Arabidopsis thaliana: one gene and its partners. The protein of the gene in region 3 purifies or fractionates together with the protein of the main gene of each other region. This does not show direct contact. Each region holds a gene or a part of one and is shown on either strand. Other genes may lie near its edges.

Region 1 (9,085 bases), on a different chromosome or scaffold from region 3:
GTCTGCAAGCCAATACGTAGCTAATATTAACATAACTCATAATTTAATTAACTCTAAGGCAAAGCGTACATAGGAAACGATACACTAACATAACAAAGTCACACCTGTATCCAATCTCTCTTCATACTAGCTATAATGTCTCTAGCTGTTGCCACAACATCTTTATTATTTTTTCCTTTCAATAAGCCTGCAAGAGTATGATGAAACAAGTAGGCTGGGTTAAGTATTCAATATAACTGTTTGTTTCTTGGCTGATGTTCTGCATCAACCAAATACAAAAACGAATGGTAGCCAAAACATGACATACTTACTGTTTGAGAATCGATCCATGAAAATTGAAGGATCAACAAGCTTTTCATAATTCCGATTTTCCACAAGGTACAGCATTTCACAGAGTTGTAAGTATACAGAACCTAACTCATAACTGCACAATATTTGATAAAACCAAAACAGCAAAGCCTGAATTGTCATTGCAATAGACTTAACATGTAATTAGGTTGCAAAAGAAAGAGAACAGTAGGGAAATGAAAAAGAATCATCTTACACGCTAACTCGAAGGTAGCTTGAGAAATCAATAAGAAGCAACGCAATGTTCAATTCCCTACAGATCATGAAATTTTATGGTTAACATACAGCGAATAAAACATCAACTACATAATTCAGCAAGGTATTCTAAAGAGGAAAAAACATAGGAGAGCAATAAGACGATTACTAGGAATCTAACCTGCACGTCAAGTAGAGGCAGGAAGCCTGTACTAGTTCAGTTCTGCGGCCTTTCGTGAAATTCTGCTCAACTGCCATCTGCAGAAGATTAATGGAGTTAAAAGAAGGGGTAAAAGTACTTTACAAATTAATATTCAGAGATTAAGTAAACCAACCATACTTCAAAGAATTTAGCTGCGATGACAATCACATCATCTCTCTCATCACCAATCCCCAATGCATCTTTCAAATTCATAAGCTCATCTCTAGCTGCCAAAAAGACGAAGGTCTGTCAGATCATAAGAATCAAAATTGCATTAATGTAAAGAGTCTAACAATGCAATGGTTTTTGAAACAGTCACATGGCCTGAATTTGGAAGTAAATTTAAGGATGGGTTAATGAGTACACATACGCAATTACTGAACTGAAAAGTTCGAAATACAATAAAAAGGGAAGGGAATAGCTCTGTCAAACATAAGCGAAAGCTGTAGAATAGATGTATCAGTTGCAGAATTTGGGCCAACAGCGAACACAGATACATATACATATACAAAAAGGGGCATACCTATTCTAAATCTCCTTTCACGTGAGCTTGTAATCCCACTTTGAACACTCCTCACTATGTTACCTGATGCTTGGCTCTGCAGAAACAGAAATAATTTGTAAGCTTGAACCAAATTGTTCAAAGAAACCAAAGGCTGTATAAATCTCAAGTAACTCTGTGGATATCATCACTAAAGAGACAACAGTCTTGGAAACAAATCCATTGTCAAGTCTATCGATGATATTTCTACTGGTTGTGGCTAAATAAAGCTGGTTGCTTAGTGCATTTTCTTATACTTCGGTAGTTTTGACCTTTCATATAATATGGTCTTTGCAAAGTTTCAGTCTGAAGGAAAAAGTTCATCTTCGCATACAAACCCCACAGAACATTTAAGCAGAGATGTGATAACAGTTCCAAGATTCTCCAACTCATATTCTCACATCTCTCTAATCCTACATCCTATTAATCACATCCGCAAACCACTAGACACATCGAGAACATCCGAAGAAACATATGTAGCACTAAAACAGAAGAGCTTCAAAAGAGGTAACTGAAGCTAAAGCTCAGCTGCGTATACCTGTCCAGCAGCATTCTTAACGAATGTAACTTCGGTAGAAAAATGGAAATTCTCCAATATCCTCCCACATAAATTACATGCCCTGTAAAAATCAAAAACGATGATATTTCATAATTCGAAGCTTGGAAACCACAAATCCAACAGAAACTGAGCTCCTAAAGAGCAAACCATAAGATAACAAAACATCAGTGAATAATCAAAAACACTTACAATGCACCATCATAAGGGCGTATTCCGGGAACATTCTTCACGCAATGGTTACACCATACCATAACTCCTTCACTCAAAAAGCTCCTACCTTAGCTTCTAATATCGATCCGAAACTCAGATTCGAGGCTTGAATCGATTCGAAACAACAGCTTCCAATCTTACTGCTCAATAGAAAGAAGATCAGACTATTTATAGCGAAAGTAACTGTTTTCACACAATCGTGCGAGGAAGTGGAAAGAATCAGGGTTTGATGAGATTATCTAGTTCACTGTAATTGTATCTATATAACAATACCGGAGTTGGCCGTGACGGCGACGACGGTGTTGAAGGCGAAGCTGAGAGACGTGACGAGAGATTTCTCCGATATGTGAGACTGCCTTGATTCGAACTCTGTCCCTTTAGGGATTGCAAAGTAATTGTGACGTTCGCTTTGGTTTTGTTCTTCGGTTCACCGCAATTCAAAGTTACCAATTTTAACCGATCAATTAGATCGGGTCCGTATTAGCTGTTGCTAAACCGAAATCGTATAGAACACTTGTTGAATTGAAAAAGCATTGAAGCTGAATATTCTTAATCTCAACAATAACAAGACTAAAGATCTCGAATGATGAAAACAAAAATTAACATAACATAGCCCTTGATCATTGACATAATACATATATCTATGAAACTTTTCTGACAATTTGAAAAGTTACAAAACATAAAAAACAAGGAAAAGTAATAAAAAGTTTTAGCTTTGATTTCTCGTCTATGGTCCAAGTAGTTTCATAGGTTCATCTTTCTTCTCAGTAGCATTACGGTTTGCTGCAGAAGCTCTAAGAGGAGGCTCAAAGAGCTTGCTAGCGACATCAGGAGGCAATGCGTCTTCACCGGGAAGAACGACAAGTCCTTTTTCTCTCAGAGAAGAAGGTTCATTGTAGCAAATGCTCCACAGTAAATCCACGAGCTGTCTCTCTTCTTTAACCGTTTCAAGATCCTCTTGTGACATCAAGGTGATTCCTTTGATCCGTTCTTCTAGTAGCTGCCTCAGTTTCTCATCGCTTTTATCTATGCTGCTACTTCCATCGTTTTTCTCTCTTGAAAGCTCAAGTAATCCACGAAGAGCGGCTTCTCTGATCTCAGCATCGTCACTAGAGGCAAGATGCATCATCACTCGGGGGAATCCAAGTCCAGTGGCAATACTGCGGTCTGAATCATCCTCTTGCAGTAGATATTGCAACAAGTTTAAGGCTTTCCTGGAGAATTTGAATAAAGAAAATGAGCAACAATTCAAGAATCTTCCACGATTTTATATCCGCAGATGATAAGAATATTTGTGTGGGTTACCTTTGAAATCTCACACTATCAGATGCCAAGGCGTCTCTTAGGCCAGCATAACCATTGGCAAGCTTGAAAGCCGTTACTCCTGGTTTGTTATGGCGAATCAAAGCTACATCCCATATTGAAAAGATAAGTCTCTTTTAGTATCACAAACCAAGTAAAATAGAAATCACAAAAGCTTTTGATCATCTCAATCTTTACTAAAAATGAACTATCAGAAGCAGGCTTACATGATATTGCGCCAAGAGCCTGGGTTCGAGCGTGAATATCAGTGTCTGAAGTGAAATTCGAGAGCAATGACTCCAGAGCATTGGTTTCCATAACAAGTTCCTGACTTCTAGGATTGTTCTGAACTATTGTGCTAACGACATCCGCAGCTTTTGCCCGAATATTAGCATGAGAGTTTTTAAGGAAACTAAGAAGAGGAACCAAGCCTCCAATTGAATGAAGATCTACACAATAGTAAGTAAACAAGTTGTTACAAGCAATGTTCAAATTGAGCTAACCAGAACAGGAAAGAAAAAAAAAAAAAAAAAAAAAGCAAAGTCCAAGTTAGAGATAATGTACCGTTAGCCATATCGATCGATTCAACGTGCTCTTGCAGCTCATCCAGCAAATCTACCAGAATAATAAACTCAATTAGTACCCTACACACAATGGCAAAAGATAAAGATCTAAGCTATGTATTATAGCCACAAATTACGCACCTTGGATATCTTCAGGTGTTACTCCATGTTCCACCAAAACTTGTTCAGGTGTTTGCATAACTAGTGTAATCTCCTTCATGCGTTTGACTACATCTACAGTCTGCGATTGCATAGCCTCCATAAACCATTTTCGATCCTCCTCACTGTCTCATTAAAACAACTCAAATCAACAAAACAATCCACAATAAAACACATACAGAATGATTTGACATGAACAAATCGTGAATTCCCTTAAAAAAAATTAACAGAGTTTCATGTAAAAACGAGAAAATAGATAACCTTTCACCTACATAACAGCAGAATTCGATAATTGAATCTTAACCAAACCGATGAACTGAACAGATATCTTCAAAAAAGAAAACTACTTTAAACAAACCCAGATTCGAATTCACTCATAAGATTCATCTCCTCAAGTGAAAGCTCAATCATAGCCACACAGATACCTAAACTACCCACCAAGCATCCCATCAGTTTCAGACAAATCAAAAGACAGAACCTAAAAAACCAACTACAAGATGAATGTCCGTACCTCAACTGGCGAGTGGGTCGAGTACCGTCGGCGTGAGAGAGACTCCACTTAAGCAAACCATCCCAATTAGGTCCGTCTTTCGCCATTGAAGAATTACTTTCACAGTGAAAAGAACTTGTAACAGAAGAAGAAATTACAAAACTCGAAGCCTTTTCGTCTTTGTAATAATAAAGAGGAAGAGTCGGCTAATCGCTAGTTTGGTTTTATAGAAGACCTGAGATTATTCGCGAAGCTACTACAACATTCTTAAAAATCTTAAACCTCGTCGACGACCTCTCAAGGGAAAAGGAAAAGCGAAGACGATGACGCCTCCTCCACAAATTGGGCCTTTAAGACTCAAGCCCAAATAGTTCAGTATTATTGGGCTTAAATTAGCTCGATAAGCCTTTCTTGAATTTACCTTTTTTTCTTTAATTTATTGGCAAATCTATGCCACGCATGTACCTTTTGACTTTGGACCTTTTAAACATGTGAACGTTACCTTCCACTCTAAATTTAACGACCAGTCGACCAGAATTTAATTCGTTACATATGATCAAGTAGTATCAATGGACTAATACAAAGTGTTTTTTTCCTAAGACTAATACAAAGTTGACAGACGTCAGACGTGACAACACATCGAACTCAATACCGAGTCTCTTCGTCGTCTCTTTATATTTCTTCCAATATTCATTTCACTTCTCTGTTCCCTCCTTTTTTTCCTGTTTCGTTTGTTCTGTCCTGGAATCTGTTACTTGCTCTGATTTAACTCTGTTTTGAAGCAGAGACGACGAAGATGGATCTTGAGGAGCAAGAAAGGGACATATTGATTCAGACAGATGACGATGACTGCCATGTCGATGTCTCATATGTTAATGACGACGATGATTCCAATGCATCTTTTTCATTATCCCAGAATGATTCCGCTTTCTGGCCTCAGAGTTATAGGTAAAATAAAATACTTTGTTTTTCGATATCTAACGAAATTATTTGAAGTGTTTGTGAAGATTCTTCCTTCTTTTTTTCATGTAAAATTCAGACACTCTGTGGATCTCTTGACCGGAGTTACACCTCCTATGGTCAGTTTCATACAAGGGAGAAGTACTGAGACATCATTCAGTAGCTCCATCGCTTCCTTATACAAGAGACGTCCAACCTCTATTGCAAATTCGTTTGTGTCTTCCACAAGCAAACAACCGCTGCTCTCTGAGAAAGACGATGTATCATTCCTTTCATCTCAGGTCGGGTTATCCAACACCGATCTCTCGTATGGAGAACCAAATTTCTGCTCGTTTCCCCAATCTGTTCTAAATGGTAAGACGTAGTAGTATCGATATTGATTCTGTCTCAAAAGTCTTTAGGGTTTAGGCATTCGGTTCGGTTGAATAGATTTTATCGTCATAACAAAAAGAAAAGTTTCAATCTCTCTTTAAGTTGAACCTATTTTTGGTGAAGGAATCAATGTCCTTTGTGGAATAAGTCTACTCACAATGCCTTACGCGGTGAAAGAAGGAGGATGGCTCGGGCTTTGTATACTCTTATCCTTTGCTATCATCACTTGCTACACCGGTATCCTCCTCAAACGATGTCTTGAGAGCTCTTCTGATCTCCGTACCTACCCGGACATTGGTCAAGCTGCCTTTGGATTTACAGGCCGCCTCATCATCTCCGTGAGTTATATGGAAATGATTTACATATATACTTCACATATCTCCAAACTAATATATAGGGTTCTTGATCTCTTTTGAGAGTTGCAGATACTTCTGTACATGGAGTTATACGTATGTTGTGTGGAGTATATAATCATGATGAGCGATAATTTATCGAGAGTTTTCCCCAACATTACATTAAACATCGTTGGAGTATCTCTAGATTCTCCTCAGATCTTTGCTATATCAGCTACTCTTATTGTTCTTCCTACAGTTTGGCTCAAAGACCTTAGCTTACTCTCCTATCTCTCAGGTTCCATTTTCTATCATAAGATCCTTCCAATATAGCTTCGAGATTCGTTCATATATTCTTTAATATGTGTGTTCCATTCTTTTAGCCGGAGGAGTCTTTGTTTCGATCTTGCTTGCTCTTTGTCTCTTCTGGGTTGGGTCGGTTGATGGAGTCGGGTTTCACACGGGTGGAAAAGCTCTTGATCTCGCTAACTTACCCGTCGCTATTGGGATATTCGGGTTTGGGTTCAGTGGTCACGCAGTTTTACCCAGCATTTACTCTTCCATGAAAGAACCATCCAAGTTTCCTTTGGTGCTTCTCATTAGGTGAAAAATCTCTTTGATTAAGGTTACTTATAATGGACTTCAGATAATATTAGGTCAAAATTTTCATTTCTCTGTTTCTTTTTGCAGTTTTGGTTTCTGCGTATTCTTTTACATTGCCGTGGCGATTTGCGGCTACAGTATGTTTGGTGAGGCCATTCAATCGCAGTTTACACTAAACATGCCACAACAGTACACAGCATCTAAAATCGCAGTTTGGACAGCGGTGAGATATAACTTTAAAACTCGGTAAACATGTTTGTCTCGACATATATATAATTACTAAAATGTGATTGGTTCTTTTTCTCTTACTTAAGGTGGTAGTACCAATGACCAAATACGCGTTAGCTCTCACACCGATTGTGCTAGGTTTAGAAGAACTTATGCCGCCATCAGAGAAGATGAGATCGTATGGAGTATCTATCTTTATTAAAACGATTTTAGTTCTCTCTACTTTGGTTGTCGCACTTACATTCCCATTCTTCGGTAAAATACTCTTACCTTCTTTTTGCATGAAACTATACAACAACAACAAAAAGCATCTTAATTTATCGTCGTTTGTTCTAATTATAACTTTGCAGCGATCATGGGGGCTTTGATGGGATCATTCCTCGCAACGCTTGTCGTAAGTCACCGTTTAACATAATTACAGCTATCATCGATTATATAGGCATATCACGTATGTTAAAAAGGATTCATATTTTGTTTACCGTGCAGGATTTTATCTTTCCTTGTCTTTGTTATCTCAGTATCTTGAAGGGTAGATTGAGTAAGACTCAAGTAAGATATATATATATATATTCTTTTTTTCTGTCATAAAGTAAAATGGTTATTGTTTAGAGTCAATATATTTTTTACATAATAATTTAATTTAAACTTTATCTATTTGATCTTTTGGCAGATTGGAATATGCGTTTTCATCATAATCTCTGGCATTGTAAGCGGTTGCTGCGGGACGTACTCCGCCATTGGAAGATTAGTAGGAGAATTGAATTGGATGGTACAATGAAGAACAATGAAACAACATATGTTAAATTGTGAAACAATAAGAGATTGTCTTTTTATATGAAATTTAACAGAGTGATCAAGATTTGTGAAACGTGAAGCAGTAATTTTAATACCGTAATGAAGCTTTGTTTTAACTTGTAATCTTCTATTTTCACAAAAAGATCTTAACCTTCGTCGACCTACTTTTTTTTAATTTATTTTTGACAAATCAAATCCATTCCAAATTTCCAATTCCACGCATATACCTTTGACTTTTGAACATGTGAGGGGCGGATCCAGAAACTTTTCTAGTATATGGCACATATACATTTATATGAAATATAGCGAGGTGAAAAATGAAGAGGAAAAATAACTGTCTAAGAAGAAAATTGAATCTTACAACATGTTTTAACCCAAAACTTGAACTGAAAGGTGGCTATAAAGATAAAATTACATATTATAACAATAATTTTATAGAACAAATAAGGAAGTGAAACTCCACCATCTCAATGTTTTGGAGAATAATCATTACCAATGGATCAAATATAGAACAATGACTTCATAGTCTCATTATCCTATGGCTTAAAATTTCTAATTAGTATGGGGCACGTGCCTACCCTAGTGGCAATGTAGATCCGCCACTAATACTTCCACACTACATATCACGACCAGAATAACCAGAATATTAATTTGTTTATGATCATGTATCAATTGGATTAATACAAACTCGACGTGATAGCAAATCGAACTCAGAGCTCGATCTCTTTTTTTTTTCTTATAGTATTCATTTCGCTCCTTTGTTGCTCTGATTCGACTCTGTTTTGAAACAGAGACAACGACGATGGAACTTGAGGAGCAAGAAAGAGACATATTGTTTCCGACAGATGACGAGGAATGCCAAGTTGATGTCTCCTGCGATGACGAAGACGATGATTCTAGTTCATATTCTTCATTATCTCAGAACGATTCAGCTCCATGGCCTCGGAGTTATCGGTAAAAGAAATTCCTCTGTTTTTTCGATATCTAACGAATTAATTTATAACGTTTGTGAAGATTCTTCCTTTTTCTGGAAAATATAGACAATCTGTGGATATCTTGACCGGAGTTACACCTCCTACAATCAGTTTCATTCACCGGAGAAGTTCTCAGACATCATTCACCAGTTCTGTCGCTTCCTTATACAAGAGACGTCCAACCTCTATTGCAAATTCGTTTGCGTCTTCCACAAGCAAACAACCGCTGCTCTCTGAGAAAGACGATGTATT
Region 2 (8,793 bases), 4.6 Mb from region 3:
GAAAAATAAAAACTCTTTTCAGTCTCAATTTTCTACGAAGTATTGACAGTAAAAATATATAATCAAAATCGAAGTTTTCAATTATATTCTTACCTGAAAGTTAGTTAATCTACCCTTCATAATGCTGATATAACAGAGACACGGGAATATTAACGCCTGAAAAAGACCAAAACCGAAATCGTCAAGAACTTGTTTTGATCCTTAATTTTTCCGGCAATTATTGAGATTGATTTGTTCTTGGAGAACTTACGATAAGCATTGCGATGAAAGATCCAATCAGAGCCGCCACAGTAGCTGCAATTAACGTTGTTACATTAACGAGTTCGGTCATTGTTTTATACAAAGGGGTTTCTTGTGCAAGAAGTTAGGGTAACTAGAAATTGATAGAGAGAGATAGTTTACCGAAGAATGGAACTGTGAGTGCAACGACCAAAGTGGAGAGAACTAATATGGTTCTAAAGAGCATAGAGACACCTTTGGATCTCATCTTTCTTGATGAAGACGGTATGAGTTCTTCTAGGCTTAGCATTACTGGAGTGATCGTTAAAGCGTATTTCGTCATTGGTGTTACGACCTAATCATACAAATGAGATAGGAATTGAGAGAAAATTATTATGAACAGAATGTGAAGAAGGTCTGAGATTCTTGATTTGGAAGGTTATCTAACCGCTGTCCAGACTGCGATTTTAGATGAGGTGAAATGTGGTGGCATGTTCAGTGTAAATTGGGATTGAATCGCATCACCAAACATCGTGAATCCACAAACCGCTACCGCAATGTAAAATAGAGTGCAAAACGCAAAACTACATAACGCAACAAACAATTATTTTATGAAATGAGAAGTGATGAAAATTAGACCTAGAGGTTTCTTGCGCTATAAGCAAAAGTTGTTTTACCTGATGAGAAGCACCGTAGGAAACTTGGAAGGTTCTTTCATGGATGAGTAAATGTTGGGGAAAACAGAGTGACTCCCGAAACCGAACCCGTAAATTCCGATTGCGACAGGTATGTTAGTTATATCAAGAGCTTGTCCGCTTATGTGAAATCCAACCCCGTCTACTGATCCAGCCCAAAAGAGGCAAAGCGCAAGCAAGATTGAGGAGATGACACCTCCGGCTAAGGAAACAAAACATTTCTTAAATTTAATTAAAGAGTTCAAATCTCAGAGATTGTTGTGTGTGCCAATTACGAGATGAACCTGAGAGATAGGACAATAAGCTGAGGTCTTTGAGCCAGACAGTAGGAAGAACAATAAGAGTCGTGGTAATGGCGAAAACTTGAGTAGAATCTAAAGAAAATCCGTTGATGTATAAGGAGGTATTTGGGAACATTCTTGACAAATTATCACTCATCATGATTATGTATTCCACACAAGATGCCTACAGAAAAAAATTCAAAGTTAGGACCTCAATTTCTTCAATCATGATATGAAACATGAAAGAGAGTTTGGTACTTACGTATAACTCTACGTAGAGAAGTATCTGAAATGTAATTCCAAACCCAAGTTAAGTTAGGATCACAATTCACACACAAACAAAGTTAAGATTGATTATTTGAAAAATAATCTTACAGAGACGAGGATGCGTCCAGTGGTTCCGAATGCAGCTTGACCGATGTCCGGGTAAGTGTGGATTCCAGGGGAGTTCTCGAGACATCTCTTGAGGAGAATGCCGGTGTAGAAAGTGATAATGCCAAAGGAGAAGAGTATGAAAAGCCCTAACCATCCTCCTTCTTTAACTGCGTAAGGCATTGTAAGTAAAGCTACTCCACATAGAACGTTAATTCCTGCAAAAAGAGAATGTTAAGAATCTCAATCTAAATAGAAAAGATAATCGTAAACTCAGTACTCTCGCACTAATGCTATACTAAACGTAAACTCAGTTCATCAATATATATCAGATTTGGTTTCAGTTTGATTATTTGACTAATCTTGGAAAACAGAGAAAACCTAACCAAAACTCAGATTGAACATTCCTAATGCAATTATTACCGTTGAGAACGGATTGAGAGAATGTGCAACTGCGGTTTTCTTGGGGAGTTAAAAGATCCCCTGGGACTGATAGCTGGAGATGAGAAGCAAGAAATGATTTGATGGAGGACACAACAGAGCTTTGGATCTCGTCTTTGTCTATGAGAAGTTGCTGTTTGCTTGGTGAAGAAGTAAACGAACCGAAAACAGAGCTTTGTCGTCTCTGGCGAAATGAAGAGACAAAACTTGTACTAGTCGGAGGTGTAACTCCAGTCAACAAATCCATAGATTGTCTGAAAATATCCCCAAGAACACCAAAATTATTCTCTAAAGAATAATTTCTTCAGATCTCTTACAAAAACAGAGCACTTAAAAAGAAAATGATTTACCGATAACTTCGAGGCCACGGAACGGGAACGTCTTCGGATCTGTTACGAGATAAAGGAGTTGAGGGAACGGAGCTCTCTGTTTGGCTTTCTTCATCTTCCTCATCGAACGTGTGATACAAATCTTCCCTTTCTTGATCGAATGTCTCGTTTTGCTTCATCTACTTTGTTTGTATTCTTCTACTGTGCTCTGTTTCAAAAACCAACAAAAGGTCTAAAAAGAAGAAGAAGAAGATTGAGAAGAAGCAACTAGGGGACGCAACGAAACGTGTTCTGTTTTCAAGTTCTAAATTATTGTCACGTTTCTTTATATTCTTTAATTAGCAGTCTCCTTACCTATGATGATGTCTCCCTGAATTTGTTTTTCCCCATAATTTAAATGTATTAATGAACAAATTCACGATTTTCCCATTATTCCACCAATAAGATAAATTTAATAATGTCCCATTATCCTATCACTACTAAATCTAAGAAACTTCAAGAACAATTCAAAGAATCTTCTACTCTGACGCGTAAGGTTCATTTACAAAAAATTTAGTTTTTATACAATAATACTATTTGCTTGAAAAAATATAAAAACGTTTCTGGCGAGGTTATTTATAAAACACAGAAATAGACACGTAATGAAGATTAGTTGATATGCATGTGATGTAAGAAGCCAATGACAGTTGGGTCATTAATTGGCCATTAAATGTTCATCTCTAATTACTTATGCAGCAGTTAAATTTATTTTTTGTTCGTTTTATTTTGGTAGCTGAGCACCTTCGTCTATAACTGCTTAAAAACTTACAATAATACTCAGACAATTTCTTACAGAACAAGAAAGCAAAGAAACTTACACATAAAAAAGCAATTGTATATATATATATATATATATATATCCACCCATCTCCAAGCAACCATTGATCATTCCAAGCTATCTACTTTTGCAGAGGTATATTGTAGAGAAGAAGAGGAATGAGAAATGGAGCTTTTTACATATATATGAAGAAGACTTATGATTTATCAATCTGGTTAAGCTTTCCGAGTCCATTGCAGTTAGCACAAACGATCTGAGGAAGATCCTTCCGTGCGGCGTTGGCTCTCAGAGTCACTCCTCCTTTCCTCACAAATCCTGCTCCGTCACATTCCGGACACCTAAACCACACACATTTCAGAGCTTAAACTCACAATGTACAATCTCTGATTCAGTTTACTACATCGGCTAAGAGTTTATGTACGTTTTCAAAATCCATAACAGAGGATTTAGTCCGGTTAAGATAATTCGAATGTTGAACCGGACAATAAACTATGATAATCTGCAATTGATCAGTCAAAATTTGGTTTAACGAGCATTAAAACCGGTTTAAGTCACAAGGTAAAAAGATGAGAGTGGTTTACGTGTCTTTGCGTTTGAAGAGGATCGGGAATGCAGTTCCGACGAGTGCAACGGCGATGGCTCCGCCGATTAAGTAGATTGTTCCGTCAGAAGAGACATCACCGACGGCGGCGACAACTACGGAGGAAGAAGATCTCTTGTTTTTGGGAAGAATCACATTGTTCGGTGATGGTGATCCCCACGAAGAAGAATGTTTCAGGAAGTTGGTTGATGACACGAACGTCGTCTGCAATGCCGGTGCGATCGTCATAATTTAGGGTTTTAAGTGACTGATTTCGATTTGGGGGAAGTAATAAGAAGAAGTGATTTGATTTTTATGGAAAGGTTTTGAATTTGGATTTGCTTCGTGACGTGTCACTCTCTCGAAGTGGATAACGTTTTCACTTGGGATTTTTGGGGTTCTTCAGTTTTCTTTTGTGTGTGGATAAGGTAGGCCCCTTCAAGATATTTCGAGTTAACAATTGGGCCTGTTAAGCCCATTATTAAGTTAGCGTGAACATAAGGCCCAAACTATTTGTCATTGTCTCTGACTCTCTGACCTTCGCAGAGTCTTTCTCTTCTTCCGTTGCTTCAATGGCGAAAGACGGACCTAACTGGGACGGTCTGCTTAAGTGGAGTCTCTCTCACTCCGATGGTACTCGACCTACTTGCCAATTAAGGTACGAAGTTTCTTTGTAATTTCAGGTTTTGTTGGTCACTTAGTGGAGCTTATGTTGTTTGTTGGGTTGTTTTAGAAATTTGCGTGGTTCTGCGTCAGTTTCTTATGAGGAATGAATCATGTAGTGGAATTTGACTATTTGATTTGGTATTGTTTGGTAGATGGTTTTTGATGATATGAAATTGTTTGGTTAGACAGTGAGGAGGATCGAAAATGGTTTGCAGAAGCTATGCAATCACAAACGGTAGATGTAGTCAAGCGGTTGAAGGAGATTACACAGGTATTGCAGACACCTCAACAAGTTTTGGAGGCTCATGAAGTGACCCCTCAAGATATTGAAGGTTCAATATGGAGTTCACTATTGTTTTCTTAGCTATTTTCTCTCTTGTTGGTTACTAAGATTTTGAGTTATGATGATTTGGTAGGTTTGTTGGATGAGTTGCAGGAACATGTTGAATCGATTGATATGGCTAATGGTGAGTCTTTTCATACTTTGACCTTGTAACTTTGTTCTATATCTGTCTTTTGATTGCTGGGCTTAACTTGTACTTCTTTGAATGTATGGGCAGATCTTCATTCCGTTGGAGGCTTGGTACCTCTTCTTGGCTACCTCAAAAACTCCAATGCTAATATCCGGGCTAAGTCTGCAGATGTTGTAAGCACAATAGTTGAGAACAATCCTCGGAGTCAAGAATCAGTTATGGAAGCCAATGGTTTAGAGTCCTTGCTTTTAAGGTTTACTTCAGACACCGATATGCATTCTCGAACACAGGCTCTCGGTGCAATATCATGTAAGCTGCTCTGAGTTCTATCCTATATACTTAGATGGTCGAATGCCTTTTTCAAAAACAAAAATGTCTATCGTAAATCTGATGAATGTATTGTGGTAAATTTGGGGTACAGCTTTGATTCGCAATAATAAACCTGGGATCACAGGTTTCCGGATTGCAAATGGTTACTCTGGTTTAAAAGATGCTTTGGAAACTGATAGTGTGAGATTTCAAAGGTAATAATACTCTTCACTTTTCTTCATGCTTGGATTCCTCTGAACTTTGAGAGAACACAAAGTTGTAACCTTTGTTCTGCTGTTGTCTAACTTTCAAAACTTTTGTCATTACTTTCTCATTCTTCAGGAAAGCTTTAAACTTGTTGCATTATCTTCTACAAGAGAATGACTCAGACTCCGATATTGCTATAGAATTCGGGCTTCACCATTTGATGATGCACCTCGTGTCTAGCTTCGATGCTGATGTAAGAGAAGCTGCTCTTCGAGGATTGCTTGAGCTCGTGAAAGCTAGAAAAGACTGTAGTACTTGTGGTTCTAGCATAGTGAAAGGCGATGAGAGACTCAGACAGATTCTAAAAGATCGGATCAAAGCAATCAGCCGGGTCAAAGCAATGAGCTTGTTTATGTCACAAGAAGATCTATCAGCCGCTAAAGAGGAGAGGCAGCTCTTAGATTCACTATGGACCACAATCTTCAACGAACCTTCTTCTCTTTAGAGACAAAGATACAAAGAGACAAAACCGTCTGTGCTTCCTTATATCATGAGTAAGCACTAAAACCGTCTTTTATGTCTTTGGACCCACCAGCTAAAGCTTGTGTCTTTAGAACACTAGTTAAAAGGATGGTAACCACTGTATAATGACCAAATTTTGATTCTATTTTGAGTTCAAATTTTCTCAGTTTCTCATTCAATGACCTAAAAACAGACCGTACAAGTACCAAATCAAGCTACTGCATGATAAACATAACATAAAAATCAGAAGCCTCTCACTTTGGAGGACAGAAAGTGATAACATAACGAGAAGCTCTACACTTATTCAAACTACTAGAATCATCAAACGCATAACTATAAGCTTTAGGACAAATCGCTTTAAACAGATTCGCGAACAGAGTCGGCTTACACGCCTGAGGATTCGCATATTCACCGGTGCAACAATACTTAGCCGATTGCATCGCCAAGCAAGCACTTTTACAACCAACCACTTTCCCATCTCTCTTAACTTCCAAAGCTGATGGACAACAAATGTTCAAATTCACTTCACAAGCCGCAACGCCACATCCAACTCCACCGCCGATTGGTTTCATCGACACCGGAAGATTGAAACCGTCGACGAGACTTACGTCGTAGAAATGAAGCGGAGAGGAAGATGAGCCTAATGTCATTTCTACTACGGTTGCTGGTGGTACACCGCCGGTTCCTTGGCAGTTGATAGAGCCGTCGTTGCAGTCTCCGGTTTGGCATGAGCCTTTACCGTTTTGGTTAAAGGTGCAGCCTTGTCTACCCCAGATTCGACCGGACCATTTATCCGGTACGTCTATGATGGTTTCTTCGCCGCTTCCCATGTGGAATCCGCCGTTTCTTGGTGTGATTTGGCCTCCGCCGCCGAGAATTCCCGGCCAAATGCTCTCCTGGCAGTTATTCACTATTATAAGCTGAGCTCCATCTGCAAAAGAACAAAGTCACTATTATTGAGAGGAATCAAAACGAGAAACAAAACCCATTTCATAAATTATCGAGAAGGAGAAGAGATATCGTACCAGTGAAGGCTGAGATAGTGAGAAAGAGAAGGAATAGAGTTGCAGATTTCGTCATTGTTGTTGATGTTGTTGTTGTTGTGTGGGGATATATCACTTCTAAAGTTTGCTTTTGTGTGTGTTGTGGTTGTTTTCAAGAGAATATTAATAAAGAATATGTTGAGGACGTCGTGGTCGAAGGAAGAAGTGGAAACTTGGGTTGCAAGACTAATATTGGTGTGGTGAAGTGGATTGTTGTATAGGGAACTGCCAAGTGCTAACGTTTTATAAACTGAGACTTTCATGGGATTAGTGGGAAAGAGAAAGATATGGAGGCTTGATCGTGAGCCTTCTTCTATGAAGAATGGGTTAAAGTTGGATTTAAAGAAAAAGAGAAAGATTCATATGTCTCTCAAACGTTTATTATTGGATAAAGATTAACACTCATAGATTTCTTCATCATTGCATTTCTTTAAGGCAAATTTGTTTATACTTTACAATCCATAACTAATTTTCAGACCTAGCTAAAATCTCATTGTCTAACATTTTAATTATTCTTAGAAATTGATTTGATATTTTTGAATATAGTTTTATAATTTTTGTAATAATGTCGTAATGTTACCACCTGAATTCACTGTTTTGAGTCTATATGAAAATTGTAATAAGGAAAATGTTAGAGTGCTTCACTAGAGTTTTGAACTTTTGATTTTATATGTCAGTTTGTTTTTCTTTCAAAAATTATGTTATATGTTATCTATGCGTATATAAACTTCATCACTTGCTAGTAGCCTAGCATGTCCCAACATTTCTTACCTTTGCTATGACCTTTTTCACTTTGTACATCAAATCAGCAGAGAGCATATATGCATTACTTCAATGAGAGGATTTGCTTTGTTTTTAAACAAAGGCTATATTTACACAAAACAAATCATTCTCTTTTTAATGTTCTTATAATATTTTGTTGGTTTTTGAAAGGTAATAATAGAGATCGAAGCCAAGAATGTCACTAGAGTCTATAGACTTGCTTTTAATAACAGGTGGGGAGGTTGAAGGTTTTGGTGGGTAGGTATCTTGCAAGACATACATATAACATATTGATGAGTACTACTTGCTCAATATTACTTCAAGCTGAAGCAAAATAACATATGAAACCAAATTGAGATAACACTTCAAATCATATTGCAAATGTAAAGAGTGAATTTGCACAATGATTTACAAAGTGAACATATACAACAATGGATTATAAGTTCTTTAAAAACCACAACAACAAAAAAAAAAAAAAAAAAAAAAAAAAAATTCTAGAGGAACTTTTGGGTCAATTTTTGGTTTATTTGGTTATCACAAAACCAAGCCAATTATACCGATTTTTCCAAACCAAACTCAAATTATACCGATTGAAATTGGCCACTCTTAGTGACGACGGCGAGGAAGAGCTCCGCCGACGTTTACTGAGTAAAACCTTTACTTCTGAGCAAGACAAGAAAAAAGAAGATATTGAGCGATTATGATTCGCGCAGCTGCCAAATTCTCCAGAGAAGCAGCGGCAACGATTCGTGGCCGCACGATCTCCGTTAGAGGAAACCTTATTCGATACTCGACGCCATTGAGATTGATTCACGGTGAAATCAGCGTTCCAAACGCGAATCATGTTGCTATTCAGATGGTTAATTACGCTCTTTCTCACGCTAGGTCACAAAAATCAGGTCTTTCTCTATAGTTATAAGGATTTTAGGTGTTTAAACTCTAAGTCTCTGACTGAATTCGAAATGGGTCTCTGTGAATTCTGAATTTTTGCAGATGAATCTTATGCTCAAGGGATGCTAGTGCTTGAGCAGTGTCTTGGGAATCAACCTAACGATGATCAGGTTTCTCATGATTCTA
Region 3 (12,264 bases):
AGTTTCTTCCTCTGCAAGAATATTTTCGATAAGTTTCTCTCCAGTAGAAGCAAACTATTAAACCAAATCGAACCATATTAAACCGAAACCATCACATCATTTTTTGTTTTGTAATTTAGATCGAACCATACTAAACCGAAATTATTTCGACTTTTTGTTCTTGGGTTCGAGACGACGACAAGAGACAAGCTCTGTCTGTGGTCGGGAAATCGAAACCAGAGCCTTGGACTGTGTCTCTGCTCTGTGGAGTATCCATTTTCGATTTCTTGAAGGTGAATCCAGCGAATCCTTAATCTCAAGCTCCGAGACTGTGCAATAAACAAAACAGTAGCTAGCAGCAGCAGCAACACATGAACTCGTGCAAATCCCTTATCCGTGCCTCAATCTCTTCCTTTCCATTTGTTCCTCTTCCAAACCCTAATTTCTCTATCACCTTCATCTCCGTTCGCGCCTTTTCTCCTCTCTCTGTCCTTCATCCAAATTCATCATGTACTCTCTCTCACTCTTTCGTCTGAAGTTTCAAGCTTTTATTTTGAATTTCGTTATCTGGATTCGTTTGATTTTGATGTTGATGAGATTTCGCGCCTAACAGGTATTGTAACAGCTCGACGCACATTTCATGGAGCTGTGGCTCTTTCACCGGAGAGCTTAACGGAAGAGTCTCCCAAGGATACTGTGAAAGGATTGTTAACAACCAATCGTGGTGAGGCCTCAAGCTTGATGAAGATGGAGCGGAGGTGTAGCTTAAGCAATGGTGAGGGTGATTGTAGAGGATCTTGGTTTCCTTACGAGGATAGGTTCAGGTGTGGTGAGGTGCATCTTAGTAGCCGTGAGGTGTTGGAGGCGGTGAGTCCTCATATGATGGAAGAGAGGACAGATAGGTTCAGGCGTGTGGTGGAGAATCGAAGCTACTCGGTGTGTCTTGTGGTTGAAGGTCTCTCTGATTTTGGAAACATCTCTGCTGCTTTCCGCTCAGCTGATGCGTTGGGGATTCAATCTGTACATGTTGTTTCCTGTGACAGCTCCAAAAGGTGCCCCTTTGAGGTTGGCATTTTCTGTTTCTTTGTTGATTCATAGGATTTGAGGTGAAACTAGGGATTCTTGCATTTTGAATTTAGACAATGTGCGGTGACCTGAGATCATAAGCTGGTGATTGAAGTCTGTAGAACTTTTGATTGCATCATAAGCTACCAAGATAGATCATGAGTTGGTAGTTATGTTTCTTGGATCACAGGATGGGGATAAGTGAGGACTCTTAAATTTCCGTAAAACATTGAATCTACGCTGATTGTGAGTCACTACTATTACATTTTCCTTCTGAGTCCAAGATTGATCATAAGTTGGCTTTCCTTTTTCTTAGTTCATACGAGATAGAATGGAGAATTGTTACGGTTTTTTGAACTATGCAGTGATACAAGAGTCATAGGTAATATCTGAAAAGATTGATCCATTAGTTGTTGACTGAAATGTAAAAAAGGTTTGATTGCATTGTGTGAATTCATTTACCGTGCTATGTGTGTGTTAATGTATATTATATATGTGTAGGTATAACGGAAATCGCCATGTGAGTATGGGAGCTGAGAAATGGCTGGACATTGAGTTTTGGGACACACCTAAAGAATGTTTCAAAGTTTTGAAGTCTCGCGGTTACAGAATAGCTACAACTCATTTGGGAATGGACACGGTAAACCTCTAAAGATTTGTTTGTATATATTTGTCATCACCATTATTTATGAGGCAAAATGAATGACATTCTCTTGGTGGTAATATCTTATAGGTTTCCATTTACGATATGGACTGGTCATGCCCAACAGCAATAGTTGTTGGAAACGAGGGCAGGTAATGAATATCATCTCTTAGTCCAAATTTGAGGGTTCATAATTTCTTAATGGATTGATTGGGGAATATGCAGGGGAATAAGTGACGAAGCGTTGGAGTTATCAGATCTGCGTTGCAGTATTCCGATGAATGGAATGGTTGATTCGTTTAATGTCTCAGTGGCTGCAGGGATTCTGATGCACCACGCAGTCTCTGATAGAACCACTCGTCTGGTAAACCTATTGACACAGCTAGACAATCATTTACGTTAGTTTCCAGTTCAGTTTATGCTTTAATTACATTTTATGGGTTTGAAACAGGGAAGCCATGGAGATCTGTCGGAAGCAGAGAAAGAGATATTGATGGCTGAGTTCTCACTTCGTCACAGTAGAAGCTCAATTTGCATTGCTTACGAGTTCGCTAAACGTAAACAACAACACTCTACCTCCTCCTAATTTTGAAACCGTTGTCTTATTCTCTCGCTGTTTTGCGTGTTATAGGCTTCGAATGACGCCTATAAAAACTCTTTCGAACTCTTTTTTTGGTACGACGCTTGCTTCATGTACAACTCTTAAATTCTATAAAAGACATCCTTCTGTCGAACGTATTGCCTTTTCAATCGAGTGAGTGGTGTTGATTTCACCATTCTTCTGCATCGACCTCACGCCATCAAAGATTAAGTTAGAAATTTCGCCTTTCAAGAATTGGTCACTCATAACTCTTATGCCAACTAGTAATCCATGAACAAACGTCGAAATGCATAGAAACTCGTGAACACATCGAACTTATGATAGAAACAGTTCTAGACATGATATTTATAAGTTTTTTTCCCGTGGCATCAAATAAGTGGAAAGCAAGCCCTAAAATAGATAGATAAATCCTAATAGAAAAGAAAGCCTAGCAAAAGTAAAAAAAAAAAGTCCTGAATAATTGTTATTATTTTGTTACTTTTGGAACACATAATTAATCAATTAACATATCACTGTTTGTAGTCTGTATCCTTTCCTTGTTGCTGCTATCTTCTCCACTTGTCCGTTTCTTAGACTGATGCGACTTCACAAACTCATCGATTTTCGCCTTCAACTCGATGTCCGGTATCAACATATCCGATGTCAAATGTGCTCGGTTAAATGGATCATGCTGCAGCAAAAGTAAGAGGATCATATACAAAGCCAAAATCTTCAGAGAAAGAGAGATGTGACTGATCAGTGATCATCATTGTGTTAGATAAGCTTACATTGTCGCTGAGAAGATGACGTTGAATGATGGGACGATCAACTGTGATTCTTGAGCTTGGAAGTATTACTGGATCTCTCATTAGCGTGTACTGCCAAAAAAGAAAAGGAAAAGAAAAAAACAAGAACAGACATTAGTGCATGGTAATAAGACAAGATTTAGGTTTAAATTAGTGTTTCTTTCAACAGATAAAGACCTGAATTGGGTCAAGGAACTCGTCTGGTATTTCCCCAAGTGCAGCTTCAGCATCCAGAGCTTCAGAAGCAGCAGCTTTGGCTTTTGTGCCTAACTCCATAAACTCTTGAATGATTCTTCCCTCTTCACCTATTCTCCTAAGCACATCTGCTCCTGCATTGAATAGCTGCAAAAACGGGCACTTGTTTAGTTCAGTAGAGACGCATCTATTATTATGAAAGAGGATTTGGTTTAGAAAGAAGGATCTGACCTGTTCATTATATGATCGGCCATCACTGGAGATGGCACCAGGGAATATGTTTACTGTGTCTCCTCTTGCGAGATTAACATATATGCGAACGATCTTCAAAGTTCACAATCATATCAGTCAGTTTTTTCTCACATACTTTGATCAGGAGAATTGAGTAATTGTAATCACTACTAACCTGTTTAAGTAACTGTTTTGGACGGAATTCATATTTCTCAGGATCTTTCAGGCTTAAAGATTTACGCTGTGGACCCACGAGTTGTAGCAAGAAGTAGTTAAGCATGTTGGCAACCCTCTCAACCTAAATAAGTGCAAACAAACAAAGAAACTCATCAGTTGGGTAATCATAGGGCAGGTTATCATTTCAGGAATATGGTCAGGTACCATCTCAGGGAGTAGGAAAGGGGCAGTGATCTCCTCGGATGTAAATGCAAGCATAGTCACATCTTCATTTGCCAGCTTCATGTCGATTCTAACAATCTGCAAAGAAAATCAAAGTTCTTTATGGGATCGGGATTCGAGTACGAAACAAGATATAAGAAGTGATAATCCAACTAACATTCTCCTGCGAATGGAAGAGTCTTGTTCTCTCCTGTCTCTCTTGAGTTGGTCTCTGCTCCCACTCTGCAGTATTTGACATGTCTGCCTCGATTTGTTTAATCTCGAGAATTTTGTTTAGACTTTCATCCAGAAGATAGATGCTATCATTGACTAAGAAGTTTAAGAAGTTCAAGTACACGCCCTTCTCTTCGTCTTTTGCAATCTGTAACACATCAAATTTGGAAAAACATTGGAACATGATAGTTGAAGTTCAAAGTCATGGCAAGCTCACTAAGAATTTACCCGTCTCCATGCATTTCGGTGACTAGGCACCTGCCAGAGATACTCTAAAAGCTCGGCAATGTTGTGGCGAATATTGAACTTGTCATAGAACTGCATTTGGATAACTAGATTTCAGTTCCAATAAAAGCAAGAACAAATGGCTATTCTGGCTTCCAGAGCTAACATATTCTCAAGTACAATGCAATAGAGAGAAGTTCATTACTCCAGGAATATTATAGCCACTAAACAAAATCTCTTGCAATCACCTGAGTGTGTGAACCCGTGAACTCAATGTCAACATATAGTTTCAGTAAATTCCTGACAAGATACTCGAGCGATAACTGATGTCCCTCAAAGAGAGTAGATGTAGCAGAAGAAGAACTACTGCAGGAAAAAAAAAAAATTAGAATGGTGGACCACGTTACTGCAGAACTTGTTGCATTAGCAACACAAATTGACAAATGTACAGCTTTCTTTCATGGGAAGAAAAACACCTTGAACGAGGCATCCAGCAGTTCAGAACTTCAACCATCTTTGCTCTGAGATACGGGTTTCTAACATATTCAGGACTTGCCATGAACATAATTATGAAGTTCATAAAGTCGTCCTTAAGAAAAGAGAACAACCATCATCAGTGCAAATACAAAAAGAGAATTTCTACAGACTGATGAGAGCAAACTAAGCATACCAGCGGCACCCCGTCCAAAGCTTTGGGAATTCTTGAAGCGAATATCAGCAACTCCATTGCATCTTCAACAAAATGCTCAGGCATACAGGAGAATTCCATAGGGCAAGTTGACGGTAGAGGCATCTTAAAGCCACCGACTAGTCCAACTAACCAAACAACCATTAGGCGATAGAAAGACAGAGCTCGCTGAATAAAATCTCCATCCTTCAATACAGTATAGAGATAAGGCAGCTATTACTATCATGTTACCGGTCCAGAGGAAAAGCCGAAGATGTTATCAGAGCAGAGAATATGATTACAAACCCTCAATATTTGGGCCTCATGGCAAAGCTTTTCCTGCGAAGACAGCTCTAGTTCTTTTTCCATTCGGGATATATCAAGTTCCAACTGTGGAGAAGGTGCTTGATCTCTCATGGCTTTTAGCGTTGCAAGATTATCTTCACCTCTCGAGATGTCCTACGTCATGCGGAAAAGAAAAAGTGAAGAACCATACAATAACAATCTTCTGCAAATTCAGGAATCAATGACACTTTCACAATGTAAACATGTGACTAAGTTCAAGTTTTTGCTATAGTCCCTTCTCGTTTTAACTAACAAACGCCTTAATAAGACAATATGTAAGGAACCAAATCAAATAAGAGCTTTCTGCAAGATAATTTATCACAAGTCGTTTTTTTTTCCAAAAAATCTTCAATATTTCCAGGACGGGAAAACTGTGATGATGATTACCTGAGCAAGATGTTTAAAGTCAGAGAGTGCTTTTAGGAGACCCAAATTGAGGACCCTAGCAGTCATAAAGAAGCATTCACAAATGAAAGTGTATTTAGTTGCTGACTTTGCATTTTGCCCAGAAGCATTACTACTAGAACTTGTGGCTTCTTTGGATTGTAACAAGCGACTTTCGTTCCCATTTTCTCGCCCAGCATCATTTGCGTTTGCCATAGCATCTTTGCCAATCCACTCAGTAACTTCTTCGGATGATGCATGGAGAGCGGTCAAGTCGCTGGTGTGGATCATAAATAATATTGCTCATCATGAAACTATTAAAATCAGTGAGGAAATACAAGTAGAATCATCTTGAGGACCATACCTTAATTTTAAGCGATGGCCACAGAATGCGTATTTTGGATCAATCTTATCCCTTTTCGTTAAATGTGGGTCTAAAAATGGTTCACAGAGCCGGAGCATTACTGCACTAAGGTTAACAAACATGCCTGAGCTAGCACAAGAGACTGGATCAACCTGTCATACAAGATAAACATATTACAGAATGCTGATTTGAGCAAAAAAGACAAATACCAACTTGATAAAACCGAGAGGAGACAATAGCAATTCATGAATAAAGATCCGAAGTATATATGCATCTTATAAACGGATGATTACCTGTATATGGGCTCTAGACGCATTTGCATTGATCACCTCTGCAAGAAACTGTAGAACACGCTCACGGGTATCAGTACTTTTAAGTAAAATCATCAATACATCATGCAGCCCGCTGTACAAAATGTTCATGAAATTTTTAATCGTGGAGAAGGATGATAATAAATCTGCGGGACGACGTTCCGATGCTTCAGAGAAACACTGCTGCCTGATATTCACAAAAACAATAGACATATATCAGCATTTTCATAACAGGTAAAGTATATCCTCTGAGGTGGATCAGGAAAACTCTTATGTTCGCACAATTAAGCCTTGTCAAATACTAAATGGACAATCAAGATTCTTCAGTACAGACCAGAAAAAATGCTCAAAATAATGGATTTCATCCACAATATTCTAACTTAACATAGTGCTTACTAATATTTCTGTTGGTTTCGCCTCTACTGATCATCTAACTATGCTAAATTTATATAATCATGCTTAAAATATGTATACAACCTAACAGTGGCATCATATATAAGCCAAATATATCTGCTTTTTTCCTTTTTTGATCAAGTCTCTCTACTATGAGTAAAAGCTAATCAATAATTCTTACTATCCAAACTTTCTCAATAAGAAAAGAGCCCCAAAGACTACATGATTCTCAGTAATAGAAACCCATAAATAAGTTGGAACTCACCCAACATCAGGTTGACTCTTGAATAGTGTATTATCTGGCAGCGCACTAATATGGAAGAAAGGCCCAAGAATGCTAGTCAACTCCATTGCTCGGCCGTTCATATAGGCACCCCGTGGAACCCACCACTCATGACTAACCAGAGATTTAGCTCCTACTGGTAAGCTAACAAGATACTTGAGTGCCCTCAGTGGTGGCTGGAAATCTCCAAGCACTGATACATTTATAACCGTAGACCTCAAATCCTCATACAGCTCCTTTAGAATCGAGTCCAAGCTATCAAAATCCGAGTCTTTGAAAAACTCATCCAAAAACCCAGGAGGAGCTTGAACCCCACTGCTACTAGCTCCAAACATATCCAACGAACCAGAACCAACCTCAGCAAAGATCAACGGAAGAACCGGAGAGACATTCCTCTTCTTCAACCTATTATCCAATCCACCACTAGGTTTATCCGAGTTCCCAAACATGTCAGGATTCCCCAAGTGAATCCTACAGTAAGAAACAGCAAGCTTCTTCGCTTGTTTAGTGACAATCTCCATCTCCGATCTCAGATTCTTATCCTTCATCGACTGGATTTTCTTCGATTCGTCGTAAGCACGACGGTGGCAACCGATTAAATACGGGAAAGGCGGTTCGGCGTCGGAAAAGTCGCCGGAGAGACGATCTATGAGAACTCTCTCCATCAAATCACGAGAAAGCAAAAGCTCTTTACCTTCGCTGAGAATCTCAGCGGCCGTCATCTCCAAGTAAACAATACGAGGATCGGAATCAGTTGATTCCGTTAGGGTTACATAAAATATCTTCCGGAGGATTATATCCTCAATTTCAGCCGGCGATCTTTGAGGTTTGCTCGTCGCCATTGATTTTACGAATCAAATCAAACACTCGAAACTCGATTTGAGAGATAAATATAAGAATTTTTTTTCTTAAACTTGTATTACCGATGAATCAAAAGCGAAAGAGTTTGGACTTAGCAATTTAAAGTATAATTAAATTTAGAAAAACTAAAATTCACGAAAGAAGAGAGAAACCATGGCGAGAGATTTGGAAGAACTTTCTGGGAGTAGGTTTTTGTTTATGAACTCTTTTGGAGTCTCTGAACGAGCTTTAGCAAGTCCTGAGCTTGGACAAAAAGTCTATATAGGATATATGCAAACGTCGTACTTACTAACGACGTCGTTTATACTTATTAAGACAATTACTTTTACTGCTAATAAAAAATAAAAAATAAAAAATTACCAAGATAAACTCCTCCAAGATTTTGTTGCTCAAAAAATCTACTTTGAACTTAACCGTAAGAGGTTGAAGTATCATTCCAAGAAAGATTTTTTAAAGAAGTAAAGGTAAACAATTGAGGAGGAACAATGAACACACAATTATTTGGACCGATATAAAATTGGAACTTTTTATTATTATTCGAGATGATCATGCGGTCGAATGGACATGAACATAGCTGCATACTGAAGTAACCGGCGTTCACTGTTACCTTCAATGCTATTCTCCGACACAGGACTCATCGAACCGCCGATGTTTTCACCACGGGTTCTTTTCCTACGCCGGCGCCACGCCATCTGAATATTTACCGCTGCCCACGTCCTCCAGTTTGAGGAATAGTATCTTGCGGTCCGCTTAAGCCGCTCGTTCGCGAATTTATAACGGAAATGATCGGTAATGTACCTAAGATCTTCGGATCCGAGGGAGAATGCCTCGATGTTTTCTAGGCAGACAAATGTTGCTGAGGAAGGGGGAAGACGGTCCAGAAACGGGCGACGTAGGCACCATGAGAGTAGCTCGTCGCCCAAGTAACCGCCTGGTTCTAGTGTACTAGTGGCTAGGACGCCTTTGCTTAGGCTCTGTATACGTTTGACTCGTCCACGCATGATGAATATCATTCTCTGTACAGGATCTCCTTCACGGATGATCTGTGACAATCAACAAAATCGAAGAACCTCAGATTTTACTCTTCAAGTAAACTCTTAAACCGAAACCGAAGCAAAATATTGGAAATATAAATTTTTAGAAATGATGGGATGAGTACCTTTTCGTCTTTAGAGAAGACTCGAGGCTTAGCCCGATCGCAAATGTTGTCGAGGATCAAGTCGTCCATGCCCCTGAACAATGGCACCTGAGAAAGATCAAACATGTCAGAGACTTAACACTTACTGCTTTCACAAGTCTTAACAAGATTGTATAAAGTCTGCTTCCTAGTACCTTGTTAATGAGATCAAAGCAAAGATATCGTTTGATATCTCTTCGAAGACCCGGAGGCAAATCATGTATAAGTTCTAGCTCGTCTTCACCACCCAAGGCATTCCATCTCTGCCGCTCAAATCGCCTAACCCTCTGTCTTAACCGGGAAGGTAACTGCCTACGTTTCATCCACCATTCCATATCCCTACACCGTATCTGCATTTTCCTTTTTTTCGCCATTACCGCATGCAAAAACACCTTCAAAATATTGTAAAGTAAAAAGCTTTTTAAAATCTTACATTCCATGAAAACACAATATCATAGAAAAGACATATTCTTGCATAGTTTACCTGAATGTTTCCTATCAACAGCGTGAAAAGTAACAAGCCACTTAGAACCATAACTATACTGAAAATAACCTCGAGCCAGTTGCTTGTGGGCTCAAGATCATTCGCAAATGTGCTGTAAAACGCGACCCCCAAAACAGATTCAGTATGTCAATCAGAGAATTTTTTTATATCCAAGATGTAAACCTTAAGCTCAGAAACAAAGCAATTACCTGAGAGTCATTAGGCCCCAGAAGATGGGGTAAAGGATCTTAACCGCAAGAGAGTTGCTGGAGATGACTGGAAGTGCCCAACGGTAGATACCATATCGGAATGGTCCGTTAGAGTCTAAGCACATAGGCTTATTGACCACACTGGTAAGGTTTCCAGATAAGCATGGATATCCAACTGTGCTTGTCGGTGACACAAATTGGTAACAGACCTCTTCTTTGCAAGCCAGACTCAGATTGCAGTTCCCGGTTCTCATACATTGTTGTCTTATGCAAGAAGCAACACGCTGTATTGCGAGAACATACCAACATCCCCCAGCAACCTGAAACCACCAGAATTTCCATAAACAACAAACTTTAATTTCATATCTTAGGACAGACCTTAGTAGTACTATATATATACACATGGGATTTGTTATATTGCATTTGTTTTAGGACCTGAATATAACCTATTGTTGCAGGACATTATATTCAGGCAGAAATACAATATCTAGCTTGAGAGGACTTACATGAGAAGCGATGAAATATGCGATGAGATTAAGAGCAAAACCCCACCAAATAGTTCCAAAAATGTAACCAGTGACCTTCTGCATCCTTCTCATCAAACAGATGCAGTGATAAATCTTGGGGAGGAACTGGAACAAGAATATTAGCAGCAGAATCGTCATTATCAGCTTAACCTTCTCTTCTCTTATCAGTTTCGGCACAACTAACCAAAACACTGCCTGCAAACAAGCAAAAACACAAAGTTCACATCTTATCTGCATCTCAAATCATGATTCATCAACAGGTAACACTTTCAAATGTAAATATGGGCTTTATTGATAGTAATAAAAAGTTTAGGGTTAATTTCATAATATTGGAATAGTTGGAAGGTTGTTCTGAAAATTCACCTGAGGGACAGGGAGGATGACGATAACATCAAACCAGAAGCCAGTGAGAGAGCGTGCGTAGTGAGACGCGATGGCGCGTGGATCCCAAACGAGCTTCCCACAACCAACGACAAGCGACTCTCTCGAGACGTAGGCCAGTCTGAATTGAAGCCACACGTGCCAAAGATGAACAGCATCGAGACACGTGCGGAGCACCGTGACCACCGCGGCGAACGCACCATCCATGTAAAGACACGCCGGTCCGGTAGTTCGGCCGATGGAAAGCGCGTAGAAGAAGAGCGGATCCACCGCTAAAGCCATCCCACGAGCTAAAAGCAACGCGCGGTTCCATCTCTGCACGCGCTTGCTCCTAGGATCGAGAACTTCACCAAACGGACCTTTGAGACGTCGGAATCTGGTTCGGGCTGGGTTAGGGACAGATCCTTCCTGGATCGGAACTAGAGAAGAGCCGGCGGAGGCACGCCACTCCGGCGCGTGAGCTTGATCGCAGCTAGTTGAATGGAAAGCTGGGACGCCTACTTGTGTGCAAGCGTAACACTCGACGGAGCTTAGCACCGGCGTCTCATCGCTGCCGCTGCTGCTCGAATCTCCACCGTTGATTTGGAGGTTACTGTTTTCATCGATCCCAGTCGTTTGTCGACGGAACTTATCGGAAAACAGTCCAATCCACCTGAAATATTCAAATTGTAATCAGGAATTAGCAATCTATCGCCAAAAATCATTCAGAATCATCTCACATTCGTTATATAGTACACAATTATGAAAATCGATTTCGTTGCTAGATGAACGATTTCGCATACTCAAGCGAGATTATAAGGAATTGCATGGTGACTTGTTAGCTATAGAACAGTTCAAAAAACGAGTGAATTTTCCGGGAAAAGTGTTTCTCGGGGAAAAATAATCAATCTCAGGTAAAGCTTGTAACCTCTGGGTAAACAGCAAAAGACACAAAATACATATTCAGAATTCGGGAGTGTTTTAGCGTGAAAGCACCATTAATGAACGAATATAGATATGAAAAAAAATGGGAATTGTGTGGTATAAAAACCTGAAGATGAAGTTGGGGTGAGAGGGCATGATTGAAATAGAGGAACCACCATGGGAGAGGGAGAGAAGAAAATTTGCAGGGAGTGATTGGGAGAGAGAAGAGTGATTTGTATAGAGAGGCAAAGCCGCAAGATTTGTGTGTGATACGTACGTCTCTTAGTAGGATTCGGTTTATTTGTTAGGGGAGATTCCGGTTTAATAACTAAAATCGAAGATCGAACTAAATCAGAAACCGAACCGGGATTGACAAGGGGGAGATGATGAGCTGTCAAGTGTCTGAGAGATGTGGTGGCTTGCTTAGCAAAACGGCCCACAAATAGACATTGAACAAATTGGATTCCGTACAGATCATGAGGATTGCTACGTTAAAATGGACCCATCATTTTAAATGTAATTTCTTTACGTTTAATCATTGAACTTTTAGATAAGTTTACAAATTTACTTGCTTTATATAGGAAGATGTCATAATTCTAACTCTATAAATACAGTAGAAGATATTTTAGTGAATGTACG

Evidence for each region.
Region 1: the proteins of AT5G15400 (region 3) and Fes1A fractionate together in Arabidopsis thaliana (co-fractionation; one large-scale study listed by BioGRID). This does not show direct contact.
Region 2: the proteins of AT5G15400 (region 3) and Fes1C fractionate together in Arabidopsis thaliana (co-fractionation; one large-scale study listed by BioGRID). This does not show direct contact.

The regions. Positions count from the first base shown.
Region 1 is NC_003074.8:2,866,807-2,875,891, reverse strand, and holds Fes1A (Fes1A), read right to left. Parts: upstream 4,923-9,085; 5' UTR 4,677-4,922; coding exon 4,591-4,676; intron 4,505-4,590; exon of another isoform or gene 4,205-4,504; coding exon 4,062-4,204; intron 3,973-4,061; coding exon 3,922-3,972; intron 3,807-3,921; coding exon 3,585-3,806; intron 3,464-3,584; coding exon 3,361-3,463; intron 3,270-3,360; coding exon 2,783-3,269; 3' UTR 2,560-2,782; downstream 1-2,559. Other genes in the region: AT3G09360 (Cyclin/Brf1-like TBP-binding protein), read right to left, coding at 1-2, 105-187, 312-424, 545-601, 725-801, 884-972, 1,269-1,344, 1,825-1,906 and 1 more; AT3G09340 (Transmembrane amino acid transporter family protein), read left to right, coding at 5,366-5,517, 5,609-5,883, 6,025-6,239, 6,327-6,531, 6,617-6,836, 6,924-7,059, 7,151-7,319, 7,415-7,458 and 2 more; AT3G09330 (Transmembrane amino acid transporter family protein), read left to right, coding at 8,662-8,813, 8,900-9,085.
Region 2 is NC_003076.8:421,582-430,374, reverse strand, and holds Fes1C (Fes1C), read left to right. Parts: upstream 1-3,996; 5' UTR 3,997-4,162; intron 4,163-4,258; exon of another isoform or gene 4,259-4,280; 5' UTR 4,281-4,306; coding exon 4,307-4,392; intron 4,393-4,585; exon of another isoform or gene 4,586-4,589; coding exon 4,590-4,732; intron 4,733-4,816; coding exon 4,817-4,867; intron 4,868-4,960; coding exon 4,961-5,182; intron 5,183-5,294; coding exon 5,295-5,397; intron 5,398-5,524; coding exon 5,525-5,894; downstream 5,895-8,793. Other genes in the region: AT5G02170 (Transmembrane amino acid transporter family protein), read right to left, coding at 94-156, 251-294, 403-574, 668-803, 897-1,116, 1,199-1,379, 1,458-1,481, 1,571-1,785 and 2 more; AT5G02160 (uncharacterized protein), read right to left, coding at 3,351-3,492, 3,736-3,983; AT5G02140 (Pathogenesis-related thaumatin superfamily protein), read right to left, coding at 5,938-6,094, 6,170-6,842, 6,937-6,991; NDP1 (Tetratricopeptide repeat (TPR)-like superfamily protein), read left to right, coding at 8,417-8,615, 8,710-8,793.
Region 3 is NC_003076.8:4,994,983-5,007,246, forward strand, and holds AT5G15400 (U-box domain-containing protein), read right to left. Parts: upstream 8,272-12,264; 5' UTR 7,926-8,271; coding exon 7,066-7,925; intron 6,595-7,065; coding exon 6,390-6,594; intron 6,249-6,389; coding exon 6,097-6,248; intron 6,010-6,096; coding exon 5,736-6,009; intron 5,463-5,735; coding exon 5,310-5,462; intron 5,211-5,309; coding exon 5,007-5,210; intron 4,926-5,006; coding exon 4,813-4,925; intron 4,703-4,812; coding exon 4,585-4,702; intron 4,430-4,584; coding exon 4,340-4,429; intron 4,260-4,339; coding exon 4,056-4,259; intron 3,977-4,055; coding exon 3,881-3,976; intron 3,798-3,880; coding exon 3,675-3,797; intron 3,593-3,674; coding exon 3,500-3,592; intron 3,416-3,499; coding exon 3,251-3,415; intron 3,146-3,250; coding exon 3,056-3,145; intron 2,959-3,055; coding exon 2,782-2,958; 3' UTR 2,507-2,781; downstream 1-2,506. Other genes in the region: AT5G15390 (tRNA/rRNA methyltransferase (SpoU) family protein), read left to right, coding at 351-489, 593-1,031, 1,546-1,684, 1,778-1,839, 1,913-2,051, 2,139-2,273; DND1 (Cyclic nucleotide-regulated ion channel family protein), read right to left, coding at 8,478-8,987, 9,104-9,190, 9,277-9,513, 9,606-9,717, 9,815-10,134, 10,321-10,536, 10,705-11,374, 11,753-11,781. UniProt on the Arabidopsis thaliana protein: Ubiquitin-protein ligase that may function as an E3 ligase in conjunction with specific E1 and E2 ligases. May also function as an E4 ligase mediating the assembly of polyubiquitin chain assembly on substrates monoubiquitinated by another E3 ubiquitin ligase.